Neurospora crassa OR74A: one gene and its partners. The protein of the gene in region 2 interacts with the protein of the main gene of each other region in a pairwise test. Links are inferred from orthologs where the notes say so. Each region holds a gene or a part of one and is shown on either strand. Other genes may lie near its edges. The genes, in order: NCU00664, NCU06994, NCU02572, NCU03799, NCU02717, NCU08036 and NCU01184.

Region 1 (4,021 bases), on a different chromosome or scaffold from region 2:
TCCAGACCAAGAACCAGAAGCTGACTATTGTCGCCATGGGTTTTCTTTTCGACTTTACCGGAAATGCCAATAACACAGTGGTACAGCCCGTGAGGGAGACCATCAAGGAGCAATGGTTCCAGGACGCCATCCGGGAGAACCCCGATGTGTTTGTGGTGATTGGTCACGTCGGCGTGAAGATGCCCGAGTTCAAGGAGATCTTTACAGCCATTCGTAAGCAGAATCGATTAACGCCCATCCTGTTCTTCGGCGGCCATGTGCACGTGCGTGACGCGACGGCGTATGACTCCAGATCGTTCGCTATCGCCAGCGGCCGTTACTTTGAAACGATCGGCTGGATGTCGGTGGACGGTGACCTGAAGAGGACAACCAAAGATGTCGTCGCTGCTGCTGTCAATGACGACGAGCCGCCTTCGACTGAGGCCGCGGAATTCTCGTTCCACCGTAGGTACATCGACAACAACCTACTGGGCCTCTACTATCACACCGGGTTGAACAAGTCCACATTTCCTACAGACCACGGCCGAAATGTATCACAAATGATCGCCCAGGCCCGCAAGGATCTCGATCTGGACTACACGTTCGGCTGTGCACCAAAGAACCTGTGGATGACGAGGGCGCCCTATCCCTCCGAGGACAGCATCTACACGTGGCTCGAGAAGGAGGTTCTTCCAGAGATCGCCATCAACGACGACAGGAAAGATGTCCCTCGTCTGGTTATCATGAACACCGGTGCCATCCGCTTCGATGTCTTCAAGGGCAAATTTACCAGAGATACAACGTATATCATCTCGCCCTTCCTCAGCGTCCTCAACTACATCCCCGACGTCCCTTACGAGGTTGCCAGTAAAGTTATCGGCTTACTCAACAACGCTGGGCGGATCATGGAGGAGCATGCTCCTATGGATGCTCGATTTATGGCCATCCCGGAGCAGTTTGCCATCACACAGGACATTATTCATGAGAAGCCAATGCCTTCCTTCGCGACTGAGGGTCTTGTGGACGGGCAAAAGCCCCTGTCGGGTGATGGCGCCTCTAAGAAGGAGCCCGTTTTGATCGAAGGCTATACGACAAAGGATGATATTGGTGACGATGGCGATGATGCTATCCACTCTGCCATTAACTTCTATGTCGTGCCTAACTGCATCCAGGCCGAAGTTGGGTTCTCGCCCAAGGAGGAGGGCGAGAAGCCTGAAAAGGTTGATCTCGTGTTCTTTGATTTCATTCAACCATGGGTCATGGTTGCGCTGAAGATCTCCGGAGGCGACTACACTAATGATGATGCCAAGAGATATGTCAATGGGACCTTTACGGAATTGATGGCGGGCTGGATTAAGGAGAACTGGCCTGCTAACTGTTAGGCACAACAGCCATGTTGTTCATATAATCTCGCTGGCACGGGAAACTGAAGGCACGGCGGCCTGAGACGGGGCTCGGTCATGCGGTACGGGATGTGTTACATTGGCGTCTATTTCTTGATGACCTGGCTGGATTGAGGGATCAAATATGAATTATGAACGGGATAATGATTTCAGACTGTAAATAACAATGGTAACATAGCGAGTACTGTGCGCAAAACGAATATAAACCCAGCACTTGAGCTGAACCTGGTTGTCGAACCCGCCAAAGTATCATGTATCCCATTACTCTGCGCCTTGAACGCCGCGCCGTATCCGTGTAAATGCTACAAAACGAACCATCACCATGCCCGCGCAACCGACATGTGCCCCCTTCTCCTCTTCCCACAGACCCAATTACAAATCATTTCAGTCATCGCCAGGCTACAACTGATCCAACAGCCTCCGCCTCCTCCTGTCAATAAGCTCCTGCGCAACCTCGTCCATCGTAGGAAGCTCCCACTCCGGCAACGGTTCCCATCCGGGAGGCGGCTCCAATCCCGCCGCCGCCTTCGCCAGGTTCTCAAACGCCTGCCTCTCCCTTGCCGCCTCATACGCCAACAGCTTCTCGTCCTCCTCGTCCGGCGCATACCCGTAATACGCCGCATCCACTTGTTTCCTTAAATCATCTCTCGTCTCCAATGGTTTCTCATCATCCTGCTTCGCCCTCGCCGCCGCCTCAAACAGCTCCTTCACACCGGGTAACTCTCTCGCCCTGCCAAAGTACTTGTACCCCCTCCCTCCACCAGGGATCTCCCGCCCGGCTTCGTCGTACACTTTCCCTCCCGAGCGCATGTAGTTCGGTCCGCCCAGGTTGCGGATCTGCACCTCCCACATGTGTTTTTCTCTCATGAGCTTGTTGATCTCATCGTTGAGGTCGCGGATCTGGTAGTCGGATAGGGCTGGGTCTTGGATGCGGGACACCTTGCGGGAGATTTCCTTGAGGACTTGGCCTCGCCACTTTTCGCATGCGGGAATGCTGTCTTGCTCGGTGATGGAGCGCGGGCGGCGCGTGCGCCCGGCGTCGATGATGCCCAGGTCGGCGGCTTGCGCTTCGCGAAAGCGGAAGAGCATCGACTGGGCTTTTTCGGAGTTGCGTGCCTGGGTTGGGACATTGTTAGTACACGGATTGTACAGACCGATAGAAGAGTCGAACAGTGGGATTAATCAGGAACATACCATTTTGGATGGTGATTATGGGTTGCGCGGGGGAAATTAGGCGTGGAAGGGTATTGTGATTGATAACCTAAGCTTGCTCCTGAGACGAGGCAAGTAGGATCGGCTGGGGATTGAAGGCGCAGTGGAAAGTCTAACTGTGGCCAGCCGTGGATTTTACGTATTGCCGGAAATTCGAAGATGATGTACTGGTACAAGACAGAAGGCTGCAAGGCTGTGATGCCTCGTTTGTTTGGTGGTGTGGCGTTTCTGTGATTGTGGCCCGAGCTCCACTGCAGATGATTACGGGGCGCCGCAATTCGAACGCGTCCGTCCTGAATCTCAACCTGCATCCAACAAGTCACCAGATTGATTACCTCTACACCTTGAACTTTACCATTCGAACGACGAAAATCTACAGCCATCCTCAGAACGCGGGATTCTATTTTATTGCCGCAGTATCGCGCGGCTCTGGAAGTCACTGCAAACTTGAGAGGCTCGGTTTGGTTCGGCTTCCAGCTGAGTAGCTCCTTTCACGTCTGGCGATGCCCGAGGATGCACATCGCTCTTCTTGAATGAGCATGCGAACCGAGGTCTACCTATGAAGCGAGCCAACACTCTATCACCATCCTTTTCTATACTTCCATTTTTTCTTTCATGCTTTTGACCTTTCATTTTTGCAGCCTCAATCTATCAGCGCCTGGCAACGAACCCTCTTCGAATCACAACCACCCCTCCTCAAGCCAATACCTTCAGCTACCTATCACGAACTCACTTACCACTTTCTAGTTCCATTGCCACTTCTTTCATCTACTCCTGGGGCCCTGCAGTGAAGAAGACCATCACAATTCAGGGTGTCTTGATTCCACCGATAGGGGCATCTTTCCTCTTCGAGGAGTCGACGAACCATCTGGCAGAAGATGAAAGCCCAACAAGAACGGATATCTGAGCAGGCCTCTTCAACAACTCGTACCCCACAACTTTCTGCACTACTTCCACCATACTTTTACATTTCCCCTCCTCCTTTCCTCATCAGTTCACATGCACCCCCATCCGGACATGTGTACACCTGGTCCTCTGCTCTGGACCTGGTCCGGCTGTAGCCTCGACCGTCTACCCAGCATGAACGTCTCACAGCCAGCCTTATAAATCGCCGAATCCTACCCATGGAGTGGTTCTTAACCAGAAGTTACGAACCCCTTACCCTATGGAAGGATCGGGGCTTGGTTGCCGCAAGGCTGGATGTCCCGTTTTGGTTTTCCAAGACGGGCATCATGTGAGATACGTTCTGCTAGCTGTCGAGGTTATCAGTCAGCCTTGGTCCAGAGCGGCAGAATCATCTTTGCAGGTGTCTGGATGAAGAACAAGTGTTAGTTAGTGTGGCTGTCCTTTCCACAACTTGGAGTACTTGGGACGCGCACCGCGCACCAAGCACTACCATTGCCGCCGCAATGCCTGGCTGGGAAAGT
Region 2 (4,152 bases):
GGAGAAGAATTCACTGATATTGAGAGGGAGGTTGGTCATCGTACTATACATATTCACACGGTGCATCGAGAGACGTCCTCCAAGTACATAATAATGTTCAATGCTTCTTATTTTGAGCTGCTCGACGTCAGTGGCCATTCCACAGACAGTTGCCAGACATACCATGCCATGCCAGAGTTTAACCAACACTCAATTATTCACAACCTGACCACACTCTTCCAACACATCATTCAGCGGAACCCATTGGCCTTCGGCCCGTTGAGCGTCAAAGCATCCAGCTCTTCCCTCGTCCTCCTGTATAACTCCTGCGCCTCTCTCTCCCTCGTGCTCACAAAGCCCACCTCCTCACGCAGCGCCGCCAGCCGGTTCCGAATAGCGGCCTGCTCCGAGGACTGGAGGACCTTGAAAGCGCCCAGAGCGTTGTTCGCCTTCTCCAACGCCTCGTGAGCCTCACTGATCTTCTTCCGCAGCATTTCAGCCCGATTCTTGTAACCGCCAAGATGCAGGTTGAGCTTCTTCTCGAGCTTGTTGCCCTTCTCTGCCGAGGCGACGATTTGGTCAATGACCTCCTGCAGGTTAGGTTAGCCAGTAAGCCTTCGGAAGGCAGGAGGCAGAAAAGGGGTTAGTTGTACATACCTCAAGCGCAATTTGCATAGTGGAAATCTGCTCTTCTTCTTCATCGTCCTCATAGCATCCCAGCCCAAGCAAAAGGGAGCTGCTGTTGCTCTTTTCCCACACCGCTTGAACTTCTTCCGGCTTTGGTTTATCCTTGATTTCCATCAGAACCTGAAGCTTGGCCTCTTGCAACGCGGCGTCGTCGATTTTCTGGATCTCCAGTGCCCGGCCAGTTGGCTGAGCTCCCGGTAGAGGATACTTGGTGGCATCATGAGCTACGAGCAAGGCCGCTTCACGAGCGATGAGAACCTTGACAGGGTCCTCGGCCTGCGAGGCTTCCTTCAAGAGTGACTGATAATCGACTTGGACAGGCCGAGGCAGATCCCGCTGCATGACCTGGGTACGTCTCTTGCGCTCCAACAGCTCTCGCGCCTCCCTGATCTCCCTTTCTCGTCGATCACGTTCAGCAGCATCCTCCTCCAGCTGCTCAGCGGTCTTGGGCTCTTGCTGATCGTCCGGCAGCTCGAGCTCCCACTCGGTCTCTTTGGGCTTGGGAAGAGACGCGAGGCCTTGCTTGAGCTGGTGCCGAATAGACATCTCGCGCATCTTAACATCTCGGGGTGTGCCGCCCACCATGGACATTTCGTCACCGGCATCATTGAGAGCAAATGTATCACGGGGAGTGCGCAGTGGTGTTTGGCCGACGCGGAGGGGCGTGGCGCCAGGACCAGCTCCAGCTGCCCGCAAAGGGGTGGCTAAGGGGTTAGGGGTTGACATGACCTGCTTCCGCGGCGCAACCGACTCGAAGCCGGTAGAGCCCACCCCCTGGTGTAGAGGTGTGTTCTCTCCACCGAGCAGCGAGGATTGCGTCTCTGTTAGTGCTCGGATGTTGCGGATCTCGTTTGCGATGTGGTCTTCCTGAGCGGGGGCCATCGGTGTTCGGATTGGCGCATTGGTGTTGAGTGTCGAGTAGTTGTTGATCAGGCCACGAGTTGCGTCGTTGTCGCTTTCGCGAGCCAGCATATTTGCCCGTTCGCCAATCATGCCCATCTTCACAATTTCCTCCAACTCGCCTTCGCCGACCTGAGGTGCTGGCAGGACCAAAGCCCTCCGCTTGCTGCTCTGTTCTGCCTCGCGCATCTTCTGCAGTTGACCGGCCTTGAGGGCGGCTTGCACAGATGGGTCCTTGTCGCCCTTTCTCCTCTTGCCGTCTCTCTCGTCCTCTTCACCCTTGCGCTTGTTCCCAACCTGCTGCTTCTTGGGGTCGAAATGGGCGCGCTGGTACTCGTTGCGAGACATCTCCTCGGTGGTGTCATAGAATCCGGGAACAGGCTTCTTTTCGAATGGAATATCGGCATTGTAGTCCATCTGGCCCTGCTTCTTTGTCGTAACCTTGATGTTGATACCGGCTGTCTTCAACTCGCGACGCTTCTGGAGAGCGGCCAGTCGGCGTGACTCCTCCTGCTGTCGCTCACGGGCCTTTCGCTTGGCCTTTTTACCCTGTGTGTTGGCCAGACGCGCGCGAGCCTCGCTCAACATTTCTTTCTCATCTTCATCGAGATCGATGGTGTCGGGACGGGCGGGTTTCGTCTCCGGATCGGGGTCGACCTCGCCAGGACGTAGTTTGCGAACATCGTCGGCGCTGGGCGCGTGAGCTTCGCCTCCATCAGGGCCCGTCAGCCCAAGAGCGGACGCCTCCCTCTGCTCAGCTTCGTCGAGAAGTCTTTGGTATCTTTCCAGGCACTGGTTTGCGGTTCTTCCAACGATGGGGGCAATGGTACGCCATTGGGTCGGCATCAGCTTGGCGAGGTGCAGCAGCTTCTCATCCTCCTCCTTGCTCCATTCGATCTTCTTGATGCTGGGATCCAGCCATTCGTTCCATCTTGCCTTGCACTGCTTGGGCGTCTTGCGGGCCAGCAGCGACGAGACGCGGGCCCACTGGTTCAGGCCGTACTTGCTGACCGACGCCTTGAGGATTTCATCCTCGATGTTGGTCCACACACCTCCCTTGACGACGGGCATCTTGTCGCTCGGCCGTTATGGATACTCGTCGGGCGTTGTAGTGATGCGGGAGTCGTTCCGGTAGGTGGGAGGACACTCGGGGTTGGGGTTGTCTTGGAATTGGAATTGAAAGTGTTGAAATGTTGTTGTGTTGATGGGGAAGAAATCCAGAAATTCAAAGCGCTGGCGTCAAGGCGAACAATGGAATCACCCGCGACGCAACTGCCTTGGCGTCTTTCCCAGTATCAACTGTCAAGCGCTAGCCAACCTCAAGACCTTTTTGCGGCAGGCAACAGGTTCCCGCGCTGTTAGCATTTTTGTGTCCCATGCATGTGGTAACTAACAAGCGAGCCAAGCTCCGGGACCCCTGCCTGCCGTTAACCACTAACAGAAGGATGCCCCGCCCTTTTGTCGCGACACGCTGCTGCTGTTGGTCGAGTGGATGAAGCTTCCATCCACCATTTCTGGTTCACATGTCTTTCTTTCCTCTTACATTTCTCAACTCTTTACAGAAATCCCCAGAAAGAACATCAAATCGCTCCGAAACTGGACTCTTTAACCCAATTGCGCTCTCCAAAAGTACGCGTCTTCTCCGAGTACCAAAGCATTTACCCGTAGGATCACCATCGGGCAATTCTCAGATTATTCTTAGCATCCATAAGCTGTCGTCGATCAGAAGAGCTCCCGTCGGTACCTACTTTGGACTTGGAGTGCTCGCCGTTCGAGTCCAAACACAAGTCGACTTCAGGACAAGGACAGCTTGCGAAAGCAAAACTAATCACTTAGTTAAATATTTGTCAACGTTACTGCTAGCACGACGTCTGCCGAGCTACATATGGCCAGCGACGTAGGCTCTCCCCGAAGGGAGCAAACACCTTCCGGAGCTGCCACGACGATCCCTCAGAAGCGCACGCTCGAAGACGACCACAGTCCAGCAGTTCCATCACCCCTAAACCCAGATAACAAGGCCGCTCCAAGAGTCCAAATACAGGCACCCGAAGACACCCAGCAAGCAGCCGTTCTAAACCGCGAAAAGAGAACAAAGAAGGACTCCTTCAAGAAGAGGGAGGCCAAGGCAGCAGCAGGCGGTTCCGATAGTTCTAGAGCAACTCCAGACCCGAAGCAGCAACACAAAGAGCCCTTGATCAACGAATTGCTCCCCGCGCGCTATAAGCTCGCTCCGCCCAAACTTACTGATTTCGAGCCCGCGCGCGGTCCCGTCTTCACCAGCCATCATGAGGTTCAAGGGCCCGAGGGCGAGACCATCGAATTCTTTGATGCAACCGAACAGTATGTCTTATCTATATTTGCTCCTTCGCCATTCTCCATTCATGCGGAGCATATTCTGATTTGCCTTTTTCCTACAGTGTCTTCAACAAGCGAGCGTTCCATTACACTCACTGTATAGCCGACCCAACGTTTCCTTCCATGTTCTACTATCGCCAGACCGAGACCGAGCCGTACGCTGCCCACATGGCCTTCGAGGACTCTGCCTCCCACGTATACTTTGACCGACAGGGTCGTCATGTCACCACC
Region 3 (4,068 bases), on a different chromosome or scaffold from region 2:
CTTCATGCCGGAAGCGCACACCTTGTTGACGGTGGTGGCAACCACCTTGTTCGAGAGACCGGCCTTCAGGGCGCACTGGCGGGCAGGAGCCTGACCGACACTGAGGATAAAGACATGTGGTTAGTATTGTGCTGTTCCAGGGTCGAGTCGCGGCGGCGCGTTCGCTGCGCACAAAGGAATCTATGGCTACGTACCCAGCAGAGAGGACATTGCCAAAGAAGACCTCCTCAACATCCTCGGCCTTGATTTCGGGAACGCGGTCAACGGCAGCTAGAAACAGGAGTGGTTAGCTAAGGACACGTTTCATCTAATACTCCTCTCGAAACCGGTTCTAACCGACGTACACTTGATGGCATGGGCACCGAGCTGAACAGCAGAGAGGCTGGAAAGCTGACTACAAGTTCAGAGATATCAGCAACGCGAAGTTCACGCTTCGTCCCTCCTGTATCGTTCTGACAACAGCTCCAGGTCAGCCGACATGGCGGGGTAGCTTACCCAAGGAAGGACCCCACAGGGGTTCTGGCGGCAGAAACGATGTAGACGGAGGGAAGACCGGTAGACATGATGGCTAGTTTGGAAGCTTGGAGTTGAGGAAAAAGACGGGTTTTGGAATTAAAGATTATGGAATGAAAGCGGGTGAAGCCAGGTAAGAACAGTGAAGATGTGGGAAGCGTTGTTCTAATAAAGCTCAGCCCGTGACTACCAGGATTGTCTTTTGGACGCGGGACAGGATAGGGGAAATTGTTGAGACGACGGGGACCTTGTAGCTGTCACCTCAGGTCTTCTCACCGCCTTCAACGCGAGGTCTTATCAGTCTTTATCCGGAAAAGTGCCGATCTTCAGGAATAAGAGAAATGGACCCTCGCAGACTTTGACAAAGTGGTGTGAGGTGTCCGATGCCGGCGGCAACTGGCTCTCTTCCCATGATACCTCTTGAACCCGTCTTTATAGACTAGGATGTGGCAGCTTGGGCAAGGGGCAGTTGTGGGGGTTTATGGAGTGTTAGAACCCTGAGGGGCACCGCGATGGCCTGGATGGTTTCTGACGTGGTCCGCTGCGGGAATCTGCTTGCATGTCTGCCGTGGACCCGTGGTGCCATCATTGCGAGCAAAGATTTTATCAGATGATCTGATAATGTTGAGCAGTAGATCTGCGCACCAGCCACTTCCTGTGGTCGATGCCGAAGCTAGCGCCACATTGCTAAAACACTAGTCTCTACCATTTAAATGAAGTCTGCCATTTTTTCATTAGTTGCAAGGGACCTCCAAGTTTAGCGCTACACGGTTGAAGCTTGGTCCACTGCGCGCCGCGGCGAGAGTTCACTGGTTGACATCAGCCTTGCGCAAAGACAGCGACGAAAATCCAGCAAACGTTCCAGTCAAGATCTCTGAACTCCCATTGCTCAACAACGCGACAGCTACCCTTTTCGAGACAAAGCGGCTTTGGAGTAACGCTCAATTATCATCGACGATACACGATGGACGACGATTTGTACGACGAGTTCGGAAACTTCATGTACGTATCATGCTATCTCCATGACGTCGTCACGTTGCAGAAGGATGGTCTGTCTGGGCTGTGTTTTGGTCAAGACTCCATCGTCTTTTTGAGGCTAATGTCCAATCTTGCTTACTTTATGATGCTCTCTCCTTCGGCGGTGCTAACCATTGATTCGTAGCGGAGATGCTGAAGCCTCCGAGGAAGAGTCTGAACATGGTGTCGACGCTGGAAACTACGTTTACGATGATTACCCAGAGGAAGCCCCAGAAGCTCCGGCTCAGGAGATGATGGAAGTTGACGATGAAGGCCCCTCCAACGCCGTTGTTCTCCACGAAGACAAGCAGTACTACCCGACAGCCGCACAGGTCTATGGCGAGGGCGTCGAAATTTTGGTTCAAGAGGAGGATGCGCAACCGTTAACACAGCCGATCATCGCCCCTGTCGAGCAAAAAAAGTTCAGCATCGAAGAAGCAGACCTACCTCCCGTATACTTTGACCGCACGTTCATGGCCGATCTCATGAACTTCCCCGAACAAATCCGTAACGTGGCTTTTGCTGGACATCTACACCACGGAAAGACAGCATTCATGGATATGTTGGTGTTAGAGACGCACGACATTGCGGACAAACTTGAGAAGCGAACGGGAAAGAAGCGCGACGAGCAGCTGCGGTACACAGACATTCACATCCTCGAGCGGGAACGTGGGTTATCCATCAAGGCTTCGCCCATGAGCCTGGTCCTCCAAGGAACAAAAGGAAAATCACATCTCTTCAACATGATCGATACGCCAGGTCATGTGGACTTTGTTGACGAAGTTGCGGCTTCGCTCAGGCTTGTGGATGGTGTCTGTTTGGTGGTCGATGTCGTGGAGGGGGTTCAGGTCAACACAGAACAGATCATCAAGCACGCCGTTTTGGAGAACATCCCACTCACCCTCATTGTCAACAAGATGGACCGGTTAATTCTCGAGCTCAAGTTGCCGCCAAACGATGCCTATTACAAACTTAAGCATGTGATCGAAGAAGTCAACACTGTCATTGAGAACACAATTCCAGGCCGAGGTGAGGAGAGGAGGTTAAGTCCAGAGAGAGGAAATGTTCTGTTTGCCTGCACGTCCATGGGCTGGTGTTTCACTCTTCAGTCATTCGCCAAGATGTACTCGGACACGTATGGTGGTGTCAACTCGGAAGAGTTTGCGAGGCGCCTCTGGGGAGACATCTACTTTAACCCGCAAAAGCGAAGTTTCACAAGGAAACCCATCGAAGAAGGAGCTAAGAGGTCCTTTGTCAACTTCATCATGGAGCCGATTTACAAGTTGTACTCGCATACGATTAGCGAAAGTCCGGAAGAACTGAAGGGTACCTTGAAAAAGTTGGGCATTCAGCTCAAGCCATCGCAGTACAAGACTGACCCCAAGGTCTTGTTGAAATTGGTTTGCGAGCAGTTCTTTGGGCCATCTACCGGGTTCGTAGACATGGTCTGTCAGCATATCCCATCGCCGGCTGAGGCTGCAAAGCAAAAGCTCGAACAGTACTACACAGGCCCTCTGGACAGCAAGGTTGCTGAGTCTATGCTGAACTGCGACCAAAATGGCCCGCTTGTGTTGTATGTGTCCAAGCTGTTCAGTGCTCCCGATGCGAAGAGCTTCTATTCGTTTGGCCGTGTGATGAGCGGTATTGCGCGCCCTGGCACAGAGGTCCGCGTGCTTGGCGAGGGTTATTCTATCGACGACGAAGAAGATATGGCCATGGGGAGGATATCCGATGTCTTCATTGCCGAAACACGATACAACATCCCAACCGACGGCGTGCCCGCTGGTAACTGGGTTCTGTTGGGCGGCGTGGACAACTCGATCGTGAAGACTGCCACTATTGTGGAGAAGAAATTTGAGGATGATGAGGACGCCTACATCTTCAAACCTATTTCGCACTTCACCCAGTCCGTCGTTAAGGTTGCTGTCGAGCCCATCAATCCGTCTGAACTACCCAAGATGCTTGACGGCATCAGGAAAATCAACAAGAGCTACCCCCTCATTACCACCAAGGTAGAGGAATCGGGAGAGCATATTATTGTTGGTACTGGCGAGCTATACATGGACTGCGTGTTGCATGACCTACGTCGTCTATATGCCGATATGGAGATCAGGGTATCGGATCCTGTGGTTCGATTCTGCGAGACGGTACAGGACATGTCCGCAACCAAATGCTACGCCATTACCCCCAATAAGAAGAACACCATTACAATGGTGGCGGAGCCATTGGAGGATGGTATCGCGCAGGACATTGAGTCCGGAGCGGTCAGGATTCGGGATCCTGTACGAAAGATCGCCAAATTTTTCGAGGAGAAGTATGGCTGGGATCTCCTTGCAGCCAGGAGTATCTGGGCTTTCGGTCCAGACGAGATGGGACCCAACATCTTGCAGGATGACACCTTACCATCAGAGGTCAGTTGCGAGTTCCTTTCCCATGCTCGGGACACCAGTTGCCGTTCTACCCAGGTTTTTGCGGTGATCGTCGAAACCGGGCCGTCTCTTACTTCCGGGCTACTAACACGATGAACAGGTTGACAAG
Region 4 (4,101 bases), on a different chromosome or scaffold from region 2:
GTGCGGCTATTGATGCTTGGATGAGGATGCCTAGTGAGGAGGACTAAGGAAGGAGGGGTGAGAACGAACAGTAGGAGGAGAGGTGGGAGAGGTGGAAGAGGTAAGAAAAGGAGGAGGGTTAGATTCTGTTCGTGACGAACGTTTTGGTCTGATCTGCCTGGTCCGGTCCGGTCCGGTCTGGTCTGGTTTGGCTTGATGTACTACTACTGGGTTTGGTGTTGAAGAAGCCAGGGGAATGACCGGATAGGTCTTCGGCGATGAGACCTGGAAAAGCAGGTAACAGGCAGACTGGGCGTGCGTGCGTGTGTATGCATGGACATAAGACTTGGGATATGGGAAACGGCGTTAAAACGGGGGTGGCATAGATGCTTTTTTCCCTTCGTGTACAAATACGATAACATATAGGCATTGGACGAGGATAGATCTACGCTCCCCTAGCATTTCGGGGACTCGGTTTCGTGGACGGATAGATGAAGAGATCTCCATTCTTTGTTCGTTGCTGAGCATGTTATGGCATTGTAAAGTTTTCATGTGAAGACGGGAATATGTAAAGAGCAAGTTCAAACATGTATCATCTCGGCTTCGATCGGGGGTTAGGCGAAGTACTTTATCCTTTTTCGCTTGCATTATGTCTGAATCGCCCATGTGAACAAAACTCCTTGACATGCAGTACGACAAAGCGCGAGCCAATATTGGACATCACAGAACACAATGGGCTCTTCTCATTACCCTAGAGCCACTGACTTAGTCCTCATCGTCATCGATCCTCGTTCGTTTCGAGTCCCTCTCTCCATCATTCAACCCATAGCCGCGTTTGTTCGACGAGGAAGCACCGTCCTTCTCCACTTCGTTGAGGAACTTGTCCACGTTGAAGGGGTCCGCCCCCGTGTCCTTCTCGAACTGCACCGGCCCTTCCCTCGCCTCCGCCTCAGCCGTACCCTTGAACGTGCCACGACCCAGAGCCTCACCGAACCTGTTCGACTTCGAAATCCTCGCCATCTCGCTCTCGCCCGCCGCCTCGTCGTCGAAATCCTCCGCGTTGGCACGGGGCCTGTAAATGCTGCTGATAGCTTCCTGGGCGGCAAACAAAGGCTTGTCGTACGGGTTGTCCTCGTTGAAGCCGCTGTCGAAACCGCTAGACTGGTTGAACAAGCGGGAGTCATACATGCCCTCCTTGGACTGCGTGGGCTTGGCGAGACCGAGGGCGATCTTCTCCGAGATATCTCTGTCCATCTCGCGGGCCATGACCTGGGCTCTCCTCTCCGCACCCATGCGCGACTGTCTGAGTTTACGCTCCTCCTCGCGAAGTTTCTCCTTGCGCGCTTCCCTTCTCTCCCGCTCAGAGTCGTCATCGCTCTCGGAGCGAGATTCGGAACCGCTGTAAGAGCGGGATCGTGACCTCCTGCTCCGTCCACCAGCCGCGCGCTCCGCCCTGGCTTGCTGCGCAAGTTGGCGCAGATGTTCCTCCTTTTGTGCCTTCTCCTTCTCTGCCAGCCTCTGCTGCATCATGGCTCTCTGTCGGACTTCCTCTCTAGCGTGTCTATCGGCCATGAAGAGGGCTTCGGAGAACTGAGCGAACTTGTCGTTGATTTGCACGTCTTGCAGACCGCGGCCGTCGGCGGCCAATCTCTTGTCGAGCGGGACAGTGAAACCCTTGGGGTTCTTCCAGTTGGAAATAGGAGGTGCTATCGCTTGTTAGTAGACCACTCTCCTTGTGAGACAGATAGATGACTTACGGATTCTCCATGCTTCTTGATCCTCGGCCGTCAACTTCCTCGGAGGCGAGTGCATAACTGGAGGAGGAGGAGTCGGGGGTCCTCTGGGAATCTTCTTGTGCTTGAACTTGGGTGGCTCCATGGGATCTGCCAACTGTTAGTTTACCGCCCACAGCTAATGCTCAAGTCTTGAATGCCATACCTCTCTGTCGCTCCACAATCTTCATGATACGGTCTTGCTTCTTGGAGTTGTCTCCCATCTGCGCTGATGGCGTGTAGCGCACAAACGTCGGCTCTCGCTTCGTATTGATGTTGATGTTTTTGGGCTTCTGGGACGCCACGGCGCCGCTGACCAGCGCAGCCAGTGCATTCTTGGTCCTCTCCGCCGTTGCTTCCACCTCCTCTTTGCTCGGTCGTGACAAGTCAAGATCGCCCGCTTCGGCCCTCTGTCGCAATGGAATCAGATCCTTGAATGACGCGTGAATGACCCGGTCGCTGCTGTGACCCTGTCGTGCGATCGCTGTGTAGTCGACCTTGCCCTCTCCATCAACCTGAACAACTAGCGCGTTTGACTTGTTCGAGGCGTCCTTGCCCCAGGGATACTGAGCAACGGGAATCTCTGGAAAGGCACCGCCATCGCCGAAATCCTCTGGTGCACGCGGTCGCCAACCTTGTCGATTTCCATACGGTGGTGGTCCGGTTCTCTGGGAGAGCGGAATGTTAGCATTAGCCGGTTTTCGAAAGCAAGCAAGCAAGCAAGCGGATAGTGGAGGGTGCGGTTACTGACCCTCAGCACAACTTGAGTTTCGTCAATTTGGCCGGCGCCGACAATTCTGGGACCGCGTTGCTGTGACTTTGATTCTTCGTATTCGCCGCTGTATTTTGGCTTCGGAAGAGCCTGAGATAGGCCTGCTGCTATCGAAGCCATAATTGTCGATCAATGAGTGGTTGTTGAAGTGATGCTTGATTGTCGCAAAATCGGTTGCGATGGGGTTTGGCAGTTGACGTTTACTTCGACATCACTGCCTGCAATGAAAAGAAGTTCCAAGCAATGGTAGGTAGGTGGCTCAAGCGCGACGCTTCAAGGTCCAGTGTGGCGCCAGAGGAGAGCCAGTGGAGATACGTAGGTACCTGTAGCCAGCACTGCAGCCGCGGCGCTGGCATACCTACGGGCTACGGCACAGTAGACGAGACATGGGCATCCTTATCGGTCTCCTTATCAGAAGGGAAACTTGTATAGTCTACATGTACAGGAACACAATGTAGTCTAACTTGCTGCTGCTTTCAGGGGGCATCAAAACACCAAAAGCGGGCTCTCTTTTCTTTTGTATACCGCTGGTAGTGTCATGTTGGCATGAAGTTCAGATCCAAGTTTCCCGTAAAATTGCCCAGTTCACGACATGTCCCTGGCTCGCAATAGCTCAGGTCTGTACGCTCAAGTCTTGTACACTTGACCTGCTGAGAACATTCACAGTGCCATTGTCATTGCACGCTTGCACTTCTATTATGTTTTAGTGATAACTGGCCGCCAAAAAAATCCATCAGTCATACATGTAGATCGAAAACCAAGACACAGGGGCATGTTGTTGACATGACCACCCGTCGCCAACTCGTAAGCCATCATTATATGATATACACCCCATGCAAGCAAGACCTGTGCTGTTTTTGTGCCTTACGCCCGGCCAAGACCAAATCAATCTCACTCCTTGGGAGTATAAAAGTAGTACACATTTATACATAACCCTTCCGTGCGCCCTGTGTCGTCCATCCTATTAGCATCCTGACGCCAGCCTGGAAAGTTGGACAAAATGTGAAGCTTACCTGGAAGAAGAATCTAACGATAAAGACCTGTAGAGCACCCATCGCAATGACCAGCAAGATCTGAATCAAACTGAAGTTGACAATTCGCTTCTCGGTGCTCCTGACTGTGCTGAAGTTGCGGTTCTCGCGCGTGCGGAAGTACTTTTGGTTGCGGGTGACGGTAGAAAGCTGCATCGAGATCTTGAAGAGAGACTCCTCGAGAGCCGAGGTCTGTTCGGGGGAGCTACCCTGCTTTGAAGGGATGGTAACGCGGGCCTCATCTTCGACCTATACCCTCACAGTCAGTATAAGTGGTAGGTGGTGGAGTAAAAGGGGGCGCCTGGTGTACTGACCGCAAGCTCGAAGTCGACGAACTTCTCAGCGAAGGTGCTCATCTCGTTGTTGAAGCAGAACTTGTAGTCACCGATCTGCTTGCCGGTGAAGACAAAGTCGCCCTGGCGTTCCTTCTGCCCATCCATAATCACATTGCCATCGGGGCCGGTCACTTCATAGTCGATATCGAACGAGCCTCCTGATTGTACCTGCGCAGCCAAGGTTAGCACATCGGTCCCGGCGCATGACAGTC
Region 5 (4,014 bases), on a different chromosome or scaffold from region 2:
CAACCTTGCAGTATTCGATTGGGTTCGGTAATAGCGACTCGAGTGCAGCAAATCTGGCGGAGAAGTGATCCCTCACAAACTTGTGGACAAGGGCCACCTCACTGTCTATCAGAGTAGACAGTCTGTTGGCGTTGGTCAAGAGGTTGTATTCCGGGTGATCTTCGACATGGCCGACGTCGTTGGCCTGAGCGGGTTGTGCTTGATAGTGTGCGATTTTCTGCAACGTTCGATCCAGACTGTCAGGGCTATTGCTCAAATAAGATGTAAACGCTTTTCCATGTTCAAAGGGAGCACCGCAAACGGGTATAAGGGAACTAACCTCGAGTACTGGCTTCAATGACTTCATAAGAGTCGCAACAGTTCGAACATCTCGCACTCCTCCCAGATGCATCTTCTCAACCTTGGCTTTTGCTTCCTCGGGATCTTCTACAGCATTCGAGTCGTCGGCGCCGACGCCACCCATAGCTTCGTCTTCGTCCTCGCCCTCCTCGTCGCCCATGCCTTCATCTTGATCCTCATCATTGATCGGTACATGTGCGTCGTCCACGCCGGAGCCTCCAGTCGTGTCAACGCCATCGCCTAGAAGACCATCGCCATACTCCTCGCCACCGGCCTCGGAGCCAGAGTCCTCAAAGTCCTGGAGGAGCTCGTCGAGAGTAGACGACATGTTGGCAAAACCCTGTTTCCTGGGCAGAATATTCGGCGACTGTTCGGGTCTCAAGGTGGTTAGATTCAGGAGTAAACGGGACAGTCGCTGATACAGGTACAACAGCTGCCGTGTGCCGAAGAAAGAATGGAAAAGAGTTCGATGTGTTGTCGACTTGTTTTGGTTTTGGGAAGAATGGAGGCAAGAGACCGCGGCGTTGCATCACGGCCTAGCGTACTGTACTGACCTCGTTGCGCCAGTGCTTTGCCTGCCGGTCGTACACAGTGCGGCTTGGTATGTCGCCGATAGCTGCCAGTGCAGTGAGTAGATAGTGTCAAGTAGGCGTAGTTCGCAGCCACACCCAATACAGCGGCCTTCCAGCGGCTCAGCGTCGTCTTATGGGCGAACCTGCTCGCTGAGGTCGGACATGTACTACCTATCAGATGTACAATGACATGATGAGCGAAAAGTGTCCATACCCACTGTGCAGCAAGGTTCAGTAAGTAGGCAGGGGCATCGAGCCACGGTCCATCAATCGCAGCGCGTCCTCAACTGAGTTCAGTGGCTGGCTGCTGTTGCGTCCAGACCCCAAAATCTCATTGAGAAACCGAACTTACAACACCACGCCAACATCTGCAGATCGCCACTTTTTACGCCCATCTTCACAATGGAGTCATCGCGCGGCCCGCCACGGGTGAAGAATAAAGCCCCTGCGCCTGTACAGATCTCGGCCGAGCAGCTGCTGCGCGAGGCCGTCGACCGCCAGGAAGTCAACCTCCAGACCCCGACACAGCGCTTTGCCGACCTCGAGGAGCTCAAGGAATACCAAGGTCGTAAGCGCAAGGAGTTTGAGGACTACGTGCGGCGTAACCGAGTTCGTCTATCGAACTGGCTCCAGTATGCTCAATGGGAGCTAGAACAGAAGGAGTTTGCGCGGGCTCGCTCTGTGTTCGAGCGCGCTCTGGATGTACATCCCAACAATACTCGTATGTTTGTCTAAACTCAAAGTGTCCATGTGCTGTTAAATGTGGCGCACATCAGTCGCTAACGATATGTCCAACAGAACTCTGGATCCGATACGTTCAAGCAGAGATCAAGAACCGTAACATCAACCATGCACGCAATCTGTTGGACCGCGCTGTCACGCGGCTGCCCAGAGTCACATCTCTCTGGTACCAGTATCTCTACGTTATGGAGATGCTCGGCGACATTCCGGGTACCAGACAAGTCTTCGACCGGTGGATGAAGTGGCAGCCAGATGAGCAGGCGTGGAGTGCTTATATCCGTCTAGAGAAACGTTACGGCGAGTTCGACAGGGCAAGGGAGATCTTCAGGGCCTTTACCGCCGTCCATCCGGAACCGAGGACGTGGCTCAAGTGGGCCAAGTTTGAAGAGGAATACGGGACCAGCGACACGGTCCGCGAGGTCTTCCAGACAGCTATCCAGACAATTGCCGAAACGCTAGGCGACGATGCCGTTGACGAGAGGATATTCATCGCCTTCGCCCGGTACGAGGCCCGTCTGCGTGAGTATGAGCGGGCCCGTGCCATCTACAAGTTTGGCCTCGACAACTTGCCTCGGTCCAAGTCGATGACGCTACATGCCCACTACACCACATTTGAAAAGCAGTTTGGCGACAAGGAGGGTGTGGAGGACGTCATTCTTACAAAGAGGAGGAGATTGTACGAGGAGCAAGTCAAGGAGAACGCAAAGAACTACGACGTCTGGTTTGACTTTGCGCGACTCGAGGAGAGCGGAGGAGATGTCGATCGGACCAGAGAAGTCTACGAGCGAGCCATTGCTCAAGTACCGCCAACCCAAGAGAAGCGACACTGGAGGCGGTACATTTTCCTCTTCCTCTTTTACGCGATATGGGAGGAGAGGGAAACAAAGGATATCGGGCGAGCCCGTCAGATCTACGACACCTGTCTGAACCTGATCCCCCACAAGAAGTTCACTTTTGCCAAAGTGTGGGTTGCCAAGGCGCACTTCGAGATCCGACAGGGCCAACTAACGACGGCCCGCAAAACCCTCGGCCGCGCCATCGGCATGTGCCCCAAAGACAAGATCTTCAAGGAGTACATCCTCCTCGAGCAGAAGCTCTACGAGTTCGAGCGCTGCCGCACCCTCTACGAAAAGCATGTCATGTACAACCCGGCCAACTGCCAAACATGGATCAAGTGGGCCGAGCTGGAACGTGGTCTCGACGATCTCGAGCGCACCCGCGCCATCTTCGAGCTCGCTGTCTCGCAGCCGATCCTGGACATGCCCGAGGTGGTATGGAAGGCGTACATCGATTTCGAGGAAGAAGAGGGCGAGTACGAGCGGACGCGTGCCCTGTACGAGCGCCTGCTCGAGAAGGCCGATCACCCCAAGGTCTGGATCAGTTACGCCCAGTTCGAGATCAACATACCCGACGAGGCCGAGGAGGAGGAAGAAACGGAGGAGGAGGTGGAAGAGAAGCCTGTTAGCGAAGAGGCCAAGGCACGTGCTCGCAAGATCTTTGAGAGGGCGCACAAGAGCATGAAGGAGCGCGAGCTCAAGGCCGAGCGTGTGTCGCTGCTCAACGCGTGGTTGGCGTTTGAGAAGACGCATGGGTCGGCGGAGGATATCGAAAAGATTCAGAAACAAATGCCTAGGAAGACCAAGAAGAAGCGTAAGCTGGAGGATGATACTTGGGAGGAATATGTCGATTATATCTTCCCGGCTGATGATCAGCAGACCAAGAACTTGTCGAGTCTGTTGGCCATGGCGAATGCTTGGAAACAGCAGGCCGCGGGGGGTGCTGGTGGCGCTGCTGTCGATGAAGCGGCTCAGGGAGGGAGCAGCTAGTGTAGGAGATGCAATGTTATATTAGGCCGCAGACCAAGAAGCCCATAAACTTTTCCCCCCGAATACAGTAACCGATATGGTGCGGATCTTTACTCCCACACATATATACCTCTTGAGTTGTTCTCGGTATTAAAGATCACATAAAAAGCCCAAACCACGATAGAAACCCCATACTTTGATGAAAGGTGTGAATTATATTTTAACCAACTGCTTGGTAGGTTGTTCCATATCCCGTACGATTAAATACGGCTTTGTACATGTTGGGATACTCTGAGGATATCAGGTCTTCCTCGGCCGTCGAATCTCATGGTGGTCTTGACGTCGATTTCCAGCACATTGTATTCGTGGGTCCAAAAAGTATCGTTTATCTCCATGAAAGAAACTGACTACCGGCCTTCTCTTTATACATATATCGTGAGAATTCGCAAAGAGGCATACATTGTTTATCATTGTCATTCTCTCAACCTCTCGGAATTGATCTGTTTCTTCATCATCCTCATAAAACCCAACCTGTTGACCATCATTATCATCATCAT
Region 6 (4,068 bases), about 840 kb from region 2:
GTGTTAGTGTCCCCCATTCTATCTTGCAGGGAAGACAGGTTTGGTTCGCCTTACATCGCATTGACTCTCCGGTTGACGACCTTGATGACCTCATCAAGGATAACGAACGCCGTCTGCAGACTAGCCAGCTCTACCAAGGCCTCCACCGCTCTGGCGTACGTCTCACGACACCGCTGTACCTGCTGACCACCCTTACCCAGACCTGTCATGGCGAAGTCGTCGTTGCCCTCGGCCTGGTAGGCTTCGAAGGCGGGAAGTAGCACACCCGAGACGTTCTCCTGCTTGGCCCGGATGCGGAATCGCGCCGACTTGGCCGACTCTTGGATCTGGTATCCAATGTTGCCGCCGACGGCGTAGGTGACTTCGGCGAGGGAGAGCGAAGCGATCTGCATGACGCGGCCCATCTTGCGCTTGGCTTCGTCAATTCGGCGGGTAATCTCTGTGAGGAGACAGGTGTGTTAGAGTGTCTACATTTCGCGGATATCTGGTGTGTGCGAGAGTGGCTAGTACCTCTGAAACGCCTGTTGAGTGAAATCAATATGTCAGTATCAAGCTCTGTGTAAAGGTATGGATGGACATGGGCCGGGAGGGGAACAACGAACTTGGTGAGAGCTTCACTTTTTCTCTTGAGCAAGCTGTGACCCGTCTCGGCGCCCTTGAGTTTGGCCTTCATAATACCCAAGGACTGCCGTGTGGGGAAGACGGCCTCGCGATCCTATCACCACCACTCATTGTCAGTCAACGCCATGGACCCGGTTGTAGTAATTGCGGGGGAGCAGCTAGGATAGGCTCATACCGCAGCTCCAGACATGTTTGCGATCCGGCAATGGCCAAGGTATACTCGAGGTAGGGTATAAGACTAAGGCGACGGTAGGTCCTGGGGGCAGTAAATGATGGTTCGAGGAGTCGTGATGCTATTCCATGCGACAACGACAGATGATAGGTACTCTAGGTTCGATATCGACTTGGAGGAGGGACGGCCCGGCCGTGGTTGGTGGAGCTCGATGTTAGGTTGGAGCTTGGATGTGAGGTTGAGACGGCCGCCGCCCACTGCAAGTCCGCCCTACGTAACAACTGGATCCAGGACCACCACCACCCAGAGCAGCAGCTGGAGGCCTTCGTCCCGGGGATGCGGCTGGCACCTGCTGCGGATCCTGCTGCCAAGATCTTGGAGGTTATCAGCAATTAACCCCACTGAAATTGGCTCTTGTTTAGCGGGACATCTGCCAAATGATCGCTCTAACTCCGTAAATGCCCCTGGAAGGCTACGGTGGTCTGAGCTTTCGCGAACTTCCACTTCCACTTCTGAACAAGGTTGAACTTCGAGACGTGCCGGGCTCCCAGGAAAAAAAGTATCACGGACAAAATACAGCGACAACAGCCAGCGAAAACGAAACGCCGTCGTCGTCCCCCCCATTCTTCGCATCTCGTTGAGAGGCTGGCCCAAAATCGTGGGAGAACGGCAGGAATGCCTCTAGGGATCTCTTGATCCTTGAACATCGATTTTACTCCTTCCTCCAGTGACGCCACTCCCGGTCTTCTTTCTGCAGTCCAACGCGGACCACCCCTTCGCCATGTCTATCCTTTCACGCGTCTCCGACCGTCGCCCAGACCTCTCTTTGGTCGTATGTGTTGCTCCCCTTCTTGTCCGGTCGTCTCTGCTACAGAAAGACAAACTGACGATCTGACCTGTGTACCGGTAGAGCGAGGAGGACTTTCCTTACGAACAAGACATCGTCCGTAACCCCGGCAGCACGAAGCCATGGCTTGCCTATATCGAGTACAAGCTTCAGAAAGGGACGGTCCAGGAGCAGGCATATATCATGGAGCGCGCCTGTGTGCAACTTCCTCGATCCTATAAGCTTTGGAAGATGGTAAGTACTGGAAACTTTCCCCAAAGTCCAACATGCCAACTGACTTGGTCGCCAGTACCTCCGGTTTAGGACGAAGCACGTTTCGAAGCTCAATGCCGCCATCTTTGCCTCGGAGTACCAAAAGGTCAACAGCCTCTTTGAGCGGGCCCTCATTCTCCTCAACAAGATGCCTAGGATATGGGAGATGTACCTCAAGTTTCTGATGCAGCAGCCGCTCGTGACACACACACGTCGCACCTTCGATCGGGCCCTTCGCGCTCTCCCCATCACGCAACACAATAGGATATGGGCTCTGTATCGACCCTTCGCCAACTCGGCCGAAGGCGAGACGGCGGTCAAGATCTGGCGCAGGTACATGCAGGTTCACCCAGAGGATGCCGAGGACTTCATCGAGTTGTTGGTGGCAGTGGGGCTATATACGGAAGCCGTGCACAAATACATCGAAATTCTCAACAACCCGCGGTTTACGAGCAAGAACAGCAAGGGACACTACGAACTGTGGAGCGAGATGGTAGATTTGTTGGTCGAGCATGCGACGGCGGTGGAAACGGGGCATGAGACGGGAATCGATGTCGAACGGATCATCCGCAGTGGTATCGAGCGGTTTGCCGACCAGAGGGGTAAGCTGTGGTGCGGCTTGGCGACCTATTGGATTCGACGAGGCAGCTTTGAACGCGCACGAGACGTTTTCGAGGAGGGTATCACAACCGTCATGACCGTTCGAGACTTCACCCTCGTCTTCGATTCGTACACGGAGTTTGAGGAGTCCATCATCAGCGCTCTGATGGAGATGGCATCGACCCGGGCTGAGAAGGGAGAGGTGGACGAGGTGGCTGATTTCGATTTGGATATCCGAATGATGCGGTTCGAGCATCTAATGGACCGCCGGCCCTTCCTCTTGAATGATGTCCTACTGAGGCAGAACCCGAACAATGTTACGGAATGGGAGAAGCGTGTGGCTCTATGGGGCGACAACAAGGAGGAAGTTGTCAAGACTTACCTTGATGCTATCGAAGCCATCCAACCAAAGAAGGCAGTGGGTGCGCTCCACCAGCTATGGACCAATTACGCCAAATTCTACGAGGCCGGAGGAGACCTTTCAAGTGCCCGAAGAATCATGGAGAAGGCTGTCAAGGTTCCTTACAAGTCCGTGGCAGAGTTGGCAGACATGTGGATTGAGTGGGCAGAGATGGAGCTTCGAAACGAGTGCTTCGACGAGGCCATGAAAGTCATGGCAAAGGCAGTACAGGCGCCCAAGAGATCCACGGTGGACTATTTCGACGAAACCCTATCACCACAACAAAGGGTTCACAAGAGCTGGAAGTTGTGGAGTTTCTATGTCGACCTTGTGGAAAGTGTCAGCTCGTTGGACGAGACCCGCAAGGTGTACGAGAGGATATTCGAGCTTCGCATCGCCACTCCTCAAACAGTAGTCAACTACGCCAACCTGCTGGAGGAGCACAAGTACTTTGAAGAGTCGTTTAAGATCTACGAGCGCGGTCTCGATCTCTTCAGCTACCCCGTGGCCTTCGAACTCTGGAACCTGTACCTCACCAAAGCCGTCGACCGCAAGATCAGTATCGAGCGCCTCCGCGATCTCTTTGAGCAAGCCGTCGAGGATTGCCCACCCAAATTCGCCAAGGTCATCTATCTCATGTATGGCAACCTCGAGGAGGAGCGCGGCCTCGCGCGCCACGCCATGCGCATCTACGAGCGGGCCACGCGCGCCGTCGCCGACGAGGACCGGGCCGACATGTTCAACTTCTACATCACCAAGTCGGCATCCAACTTCGGTCTGCCCTCGACGCGGCCCATCTACGAGCGCGCCATTGCGGCCTTACCCGACGCCGAGGCCCGCGACATGTGCCTCAAGTTCGCCGACATGGAGAAGCGGCTGGGCGAGATCGACCGCGCCCGTGCCATCTACGGTCACGCCTCGCAGTTTTGCGACCCGCGCACCAACCCGGGCTTCTGGACCAAGTGGGATCAGTTCGAGGTGCAACACGGCAACGAGGACACTTACAAGGAGATGCTCCGCATCAAGAGAAGCGTGCAGGCGCAGTACAACACGGATGTCAACTTTATTGCTTCGCAGGCGCTGGCGAGGAGTCAGCAGAAGAGGATGGAGGAGGAGGCAGCAGGAAACGGAGGAGGAGAGATGGACGCCGAGGTTGCGGATGCGATGGCGCAGTTG
Region 7 (4,051 bases), on a different chromosome or scaffold from region 2:
AGAGTCCAATCTTGGGGTGATACCAGGTGAGTTGCACCTTGTTCTACCCTTCCCTTTCTTTTCTTGTACTCGACTCCATCGATCAAGACTCTCATCATAACACAAAACCCTCACTAACACAAACCCTCCAGTCCCCTCCCCGTCCCAAACCATCCTCCACTCCACAGCCAACCACTTCCTCCTCCTCCTTTCCGACTCCGCGCTGCCTCTCGGATCCTTCGCCTTCAGCAGCGGTCTCGAATCCTACCTCGCCCACAACAAATCTTCTCCTTCCCCTTCGCATTCTACATCAATTGTCACTAACAAACCACCCAAAACCAAACTTCCACCACCCTCCTTCACCTCTTTCCTCCCCCTCTCCCTCTCCTCCTACGCGTCCACCACGCTCCCCTACGTCCTCGCCGCCCACCGCGACCCAGCCCAGCTCGCCCTGCTAGACGACACCCTCGACGCAACCATCGTCTGCACCGTCGGCCGTCGAGCATCGGTCGCCCAGGGCCGAGCGCTGCTTTCCATCTGGGACCGCTCTCTGTCCTCGTCGCTACCGCCTTCGTCTACTTCTGCCGAAGCGGCGGCTGCAATTCTCAAGCCTTTCTCGGCTTTGCTTAGATCTGCAGGGGCGCCACCACCGTCTTCCACCACCACCACCACCACCAGCAGCAGCAGCAATCCATCGACATCGGGCGGAGGAAGAAGTAGCGGGTGGAACGACCCTCCACCCGTCTCCGCCCACCTCCCGCCCCTCTTCGGCGCCATCTGCGCCCTCGTCGGGCTCTCGCTCGAGCAGACAGCTTACGTTTATTTACTTAGCCACGTGAAGGCGCTGGTGAGCGCGGCGGTGAGGGCGGGCATGTTTGGCCCCTACCAGGCGCAGAAGACGCTGGCGAGCAGGCAGGTGCAGGAGATGATTGGGGCGTTGATGAAGAGGGAGTGGGAGAGAGGCGTGGAGGAGGCGGGGCAGAGCGTGCCGGTTATGGATTTGTGGATTGGTAGGCATGAGGTTCTTTATTCGAGGATTTTCAACAGTTGAGTTGGGGAGGGGAGGACTGGGGGGACGGCACCGGGAGTTGAGGGTGAAAAGGGGTACATGGGCGAATTGTGATTGGGAAATGGTTTTTGTTTACTTGGAAAAGGGGGCGGAGGAGTCAAAGCATGGCCACAAATCTGTATGGCACATGTTCAAACGCTCTTAACTTGGTATCTTATTATTTCCTAGGCCAAAAATGGCATCTATGCACTGGCTCCTGCTGCCTCATTCTCTTATCATCATTACCAAAATAACTTCTTCCCAGTTATGTCTCAGTCGCTGTCATCGTCACTACCATAAGCCACCAGCGGTCCCGCCGAGACAGGTGCTTTCGGTTTTGCCGCAACTGCAACTCTAGCAGACTGTAGCGCAGCAAGCGTGCTACCAGACAAGATCCCACCGGAACTCTGTTGTTGTTCCTGAGGATATGCCTCTTCCTCCTGCTCCTGTCCCCATCCTCCAGCCTCCCCAGCTTCGAGCATGAGCAGTTGCTGATCCTCCAGCTCGTACCCTTCGCGACCCCTTGGGTTGACCGCATTCTTTCCCCGGGCAAAGTGTACCTCGTCTGGCGCCTCGTATCCTTCCAGGCCGTAACTGCTCTCGATCTTCCTCCGTTTCCGCGCCTCTGGGTCTTTGCCCTCGATCTCGGCAACATACGCGGCAGGCAGCGCCCGTCGAATGGCTTCGGCGGCTTGCTCCTCGATGCGTCTTGCCTCGCGTTTCTGCGCCATGGGGTTGGGATCCGCTGTCGCCCAGCGAACGTTGAGAATCTCGTTATGGTCTAGTGACTGGTGGGCCATTGCTTCCTTGGCGAATTGGGCGTTTGCCTGTAACCAGCGAATTAGTACCGAGTTCAACATCCAAGCAAAATGCTAGCAACCGTGGCTTACCTCATTTGAATAAGTGACGAACGCCACACCTCTCGTGTTGAGCACACGTATTCTTTCTATTTGGCCCCATTCGGCAAAGTGACGGGCCACGATCTCCTCAATGTCCTCCGTCACGTGGATTCTACCAATATAAATTGTCCGGTTTTGCCTGCTAAAGCTGCCCACACCGCCCATGTCGTCACGATAGTCGCTGAATTTGTCGCGCCCAAAACAGTCCACATTGGGGTTGAAAATGTCGTGGATTGTAGGTAGTCGATGGAGGTACTCGCAATCCTGGCCCTTGGGACAGACGCCCCTCGCAAAAAACAGACAAAAGAACGATCCTGCTACTCCGTCGGCGCGCGTGTATCCAGTGTCCAAGGCGATATTACATCTTCCCTTTGCGTGTGTTTGGGATAGGTATTTGTCTTCGCGATCGCCACCGGACCACTTATTGTACCAGATGTTGAACGTTGTTCCTGTCTGCGGGGGCGGCTCGGATTTGACTAGCGCCGGGTCGATTTGAGGTCGCGCCGGTCTCTTCTTGCGCCGGATGATCTTTTTGACCTTCTTCTCTGTTGGGGCGGCGACTTCGGTGTTCGTTGTGGTGAGAGCAAGCTCCTGTGTCTGCGCGTCTGTCGCGTCTTCTCCGGCTTGCGCTTGTTCAATTACGGCGGAGACAGGCTCCTCTTGCCTGGTATCGACTTCGGCCATGGTATGTCGGATTGGGATTCCAGATGTGATTTGGTTCGAAAGCAAGTATCGGTACTCAGTTGGCCTTTGGTTGCGCGTCTTGTTGCCAGGGTAGAAAGAGGATAGCGGATACGTATGCTGCAAATGCGATGACAAGTGGAAAAAGACAATGACGCCGAATTTGGTTTACGATTTGTTGTCTAGGCCAAACTCGCAGAGCACAGACTCTTTTCCGAGATTCCAGGGGTGTTGGACTTTTGGAGAATTTCCAAGCCTGGGCCGACCTTGGCTGACAGAGACCCACTCCGCTCCCGCAGATTTTATGGGTCTTCCAAAAGCGGTGAAGGACAAAACCCACTTCTGCTGCCCCTCCTGTCCGGGAAATTCTGCCACTTGGGAACGTGGGGTGCGCACTGATATGTTTGACATTACTGTTCCTTACAGCGTGTAATTCATCAACCTTGAATTTCACTTTCAGGGCCGATTCACTTCTCATCAGCTTGCCAGCCTGGTGTTTACCTCGAGTTATATCGCTTCAGTCTTTGTTTCTTTTGTAAAAGCGATACCAAGGACAGACCTGTCCTAAACCGCCAAGATGGTGAACATTACGGAAAAGATCAAGGAGTAAGCTGCACCATTGACGCTTCCACGGTGCCTGCGTGTTCGACTTGATGGAGTTAGTCAAACTGACCATAAGATACAAGGATTGAGGAGGAGATGAGGAAAACCCAGAGTAAGACCACGTCCCTATGCAAACAAATTGACTGAAAGCCATGAACGCTAACATAAGTTTTAACAGAGAACAAGGCAACTGGTACGCTCTTTATCACCTGTCTCCAACATCATTCATGTGCTGACCTGGTGAAACCAAACTAAGAATATCATCTGGGTCTCTTGAAGGGGTAAGTGAGTCTACACCAAGCGATCCTTGATATTGACTCTCACTAACGCCCATCCACAGAAAGCTCGCTCGTCTCCGCGCTCAACTACTCGAGCCAGGGCCGGGCTCGGGCGGCGGTCCAGGTGCCGGTTTCGACGTCAGCAAAAGTGGTGATGCTCGTATAGCACTGGTCGGCTTCCCGTCAGTCGGTAAATCCACGTTCTTATCCAAGGTCACCAAGACCAAGTCCGAAGTCGCCTCATACGCTTTCACGACCCTGACAGCCATTCCCGGTGTGCTCGAATATGGCGGTGCCGAAATCCAGCTGCTCGATTTGCCCGGTATCATCGAGGGTGCCTCCGAGGGCAAGGGTAGAGGAAGACAGGTCATTTCCGCCGCCAAGACAAGCGATCTGATTCTTATGGTTTTGGACGCCACAAAACGTGCTGAGCAGAGGGCCCTCCTCGAGGCCGAGTTGGAGGCTGTAGGCATCAGACTCAACCGGGAGCCACCGTACGCCCCCTTTTCCCTTCCCATGTTACTTTTCTACCGACGCTAACGATATAATCCCCCTTTGCCTAG

Evidence for each region.
Region 1: the proteins of NCU06994 (region 2) and NCU00664 interact in binary tests that used the Schizosaccharomyces pombe proteins (3 or more experiments, as listed by UniProt). The link is inferred for Neurospora crassa OR74A from reciprocal best matches to the Schizosaccharomyces pombe genes cdc5 and cwf12.
Region 3: the proteins of NCU06994 (region 2) and NCU02572 interact in binary tests that used the Schizosaccharomyces pombe proteins (3 or more experiments, as listed by UniProt). The link is inferred for Neurospora crassa OR74A from reciprocal best matches to the Schizosaccharomyces pombe genes cdc5 and cwf10.
Region 4: the proteins of NCU06994 (region 2) and NCU03799 interact in binary tests that used the Schizosaccharomyces pombe proteins (3 or more experiments, as listed by UniProt). The link is inferred for Neurospora crassa OR74A from reciprocal best matches to the Schizosaccharomyces pombe genes cdc5 and prp45.
Region 5: the proteins of NCU06994 (region 2) and NCU02717 interact in binary tests that used the Schizosaccharomyces pombe proteins (3 or more experiments, as listed by UniProt). The link is inferred for Neurospora crassa OR74A from reciprocal best matches to the Schizosaccharomyces pombe genes cdc5 and cwf4.
Region 6: the proteins of NCU06994 (region 2) and NCU08036 interact in binary tests that used the Schizosaccharomyces pombe proteins (3 or more experiments, as listed by UniProt). The link is inferred for Neurospora crassa OR74A from reciprocal best matches to the Schizosaccharomyces pombe genes cdc5 and cwf3.
Region 7: the proteins of NCU06994 (region 2) and NCU01184 interact in binary tests that used the Schizosaccharomyces pombe proteins (3 or more experiments, as listed by UniProt). The link is inferred for Neurospora crassa OR74A from reciprocal best matches to the Schizosaccharomyces pombe genes cdc5 and cwf2.

What each region holds. Positions count from the first base shown.
Region 1 is NC_026501.1:7,640,706-7,644,726, forward strand, and holds the start of NCU00664 (pre-mRNA-splicing factor isy-1), read right to left. Parts: upstream 2,801-4,021; 5' UTR 2,580-2,800; coding exon 2,577-2,579; intron 2,499-2,576; coding exon 1,782-2,498; 3' UTR 1,362-1,781; coding exon of another isoform or gene 1-1,361. Other genes in the region: NCU00665 (Ser/Thr protein phosphatase), read left to right, coding at 1-1,361.
Region 2 is NC_026504.1:4,815,494-4,819,645, reverse strand, and holds the start of NCU06994 (pre-mRNA-splicing factor cef-1), read right to left. Parts: upstream 2,801-4,152; 5' UTR 2,638-2,800; coding exon 637-2,637; intron 570-636; coding exon 231-569; 3' UTR 1-230. Other genes in the region: NCU06993 (Ash2-trithorax family protein), read left to right, coding at 3,452-3,906, 3,984-4,152. UniProt on the Schizosaccharomyces pombe protein: Involved in mRNA splicing and cell cycle control.
Region 3 is NC_026501.1:2,767,260-2,771,327, forward strand, and holds the start of NCU02572 (U5 small nuclear ribonucleoprotein component), read left to right. Parts: upstream 1-1,268; 5' UTR 1,269-1,477; coding exon 1,478-1,515; intron 1,516-1,675; coding exon 1,676-3,941; intron 3,942-4,059; coding exon 4,060-4,068. Other genes in the region: NCU02571 (acetyl-CoA acetyltransferase), read right to left, coding at 1-100, 195-270, 345-394, 496-563. UniProt on the Schizosaccharomyces pombe protein: Component of the U5 snRNP complex required for pre-mRNA splicing. Binds GTP.
Region 4 is NC_026505.1:2,453,753-2,457,853, forward strand, and holds NCU03799 (pre-mRNA splicing factor prp45), read right to left. Parts: upstream 2,758-4,101; 5' UTR 2,644-2,757; coding exon 2,503-2,643; intron 2,420-2,502; coding exon 1,918-2,419; intron 1,863-1,917; coding exon 1,737-1,862; intron 1,686-1,736; coding exon 745-1,685; 3' UTR 501-744; downstream 1-500. Other genes in the region: tim22 (mitochondrial import inner membrane translocase subunit tim-22), read left to right, coding at 1-47; NCU03800 (endosomal cargo receptor), read right to left, coding at 3,447-3,470, 3,537-3,803, 3,869-4,057. UniProt on the Schizosaccharomyces pombe protein: Involved in pre-mRNA splicing.
Region 5 is NC_026501.1:3,300,054-3,304,067, forward strand, and holds NCU02717 (pre-mRNA-splicing factor clf-1), read left to right. Parts: upstream 1-1,214; 5' UTR 1,215-1,313; coding exon 1,314-1,632; intron 1,633-1,709; coding exon 1,710-3,478; 3' UTR 3,479-3,682; downstream 3,683-4,014. Other genes in the region: NCU02716 (pre-mRNA splicing factor), read right to left, coding at 1-217, 320-667. UniProt on the Schizosaccharomyces pombe protein: Involved in pre-mRNA splicing and cell cycle progression. Required for the spliceosome assembly and initiation of the DNA replication.
Region 6 is NC_026504.1:3,977,313-3,981,380, forward strand, and holds the start of NCU08036 (pre-mRNA-splicing factor syf-1), read left to right. Parts: upstream 1-1,268; 5' UTR 1,269-1,574; coding exon 1,575-1,625; intron 1,626-1,703; coding exon 1,704-1,874; intron 1,875-1,929; coding exon 1,930-4,068. Other genes in the region: vma-8 (vacuolar ATPase subunit D), read right to left, coding at 55-439, 511-521, 603-715, 797-811. UniProt on the Schizosaccharomyces pombe protein: Involved in pre-mRNA splicing and cell cycle progression.
Region 7 is NC_026505.1:3,161,409-3,165,459, reverse strand, and holds NCU01184 (pre-mRNA splicing factor cwc2), read right to left. Parts: upstream 2,801-4,051; 5' UTR 2,611-2,800; coding exon 1,918-2,610; intron 1,855-1,917; coding exon 1,300-1,854; 3' UTR 1,031-1,299; downstream 1-1,030. Other genes in the region: NCU01185 (urease accessory protein UreF), read left to right, coding at 1-26, 132-1,030; NCU01183 (GTP-binding protein 1), read left to right, coding at 3,185-3,213, 3,294-3,322, 3,389-3,403, 3,467-3,491, 3,551-3,982. UniProt on the Schizosaccharomyces pombe protein: Involved in the first step of pre-mRNA splicing. Required for cell growth and cell cycle control. Plays a role in the levels of the U1, U4, U5 and U6 snRNAs and the maintenance of the U4/U6 snRNA complex.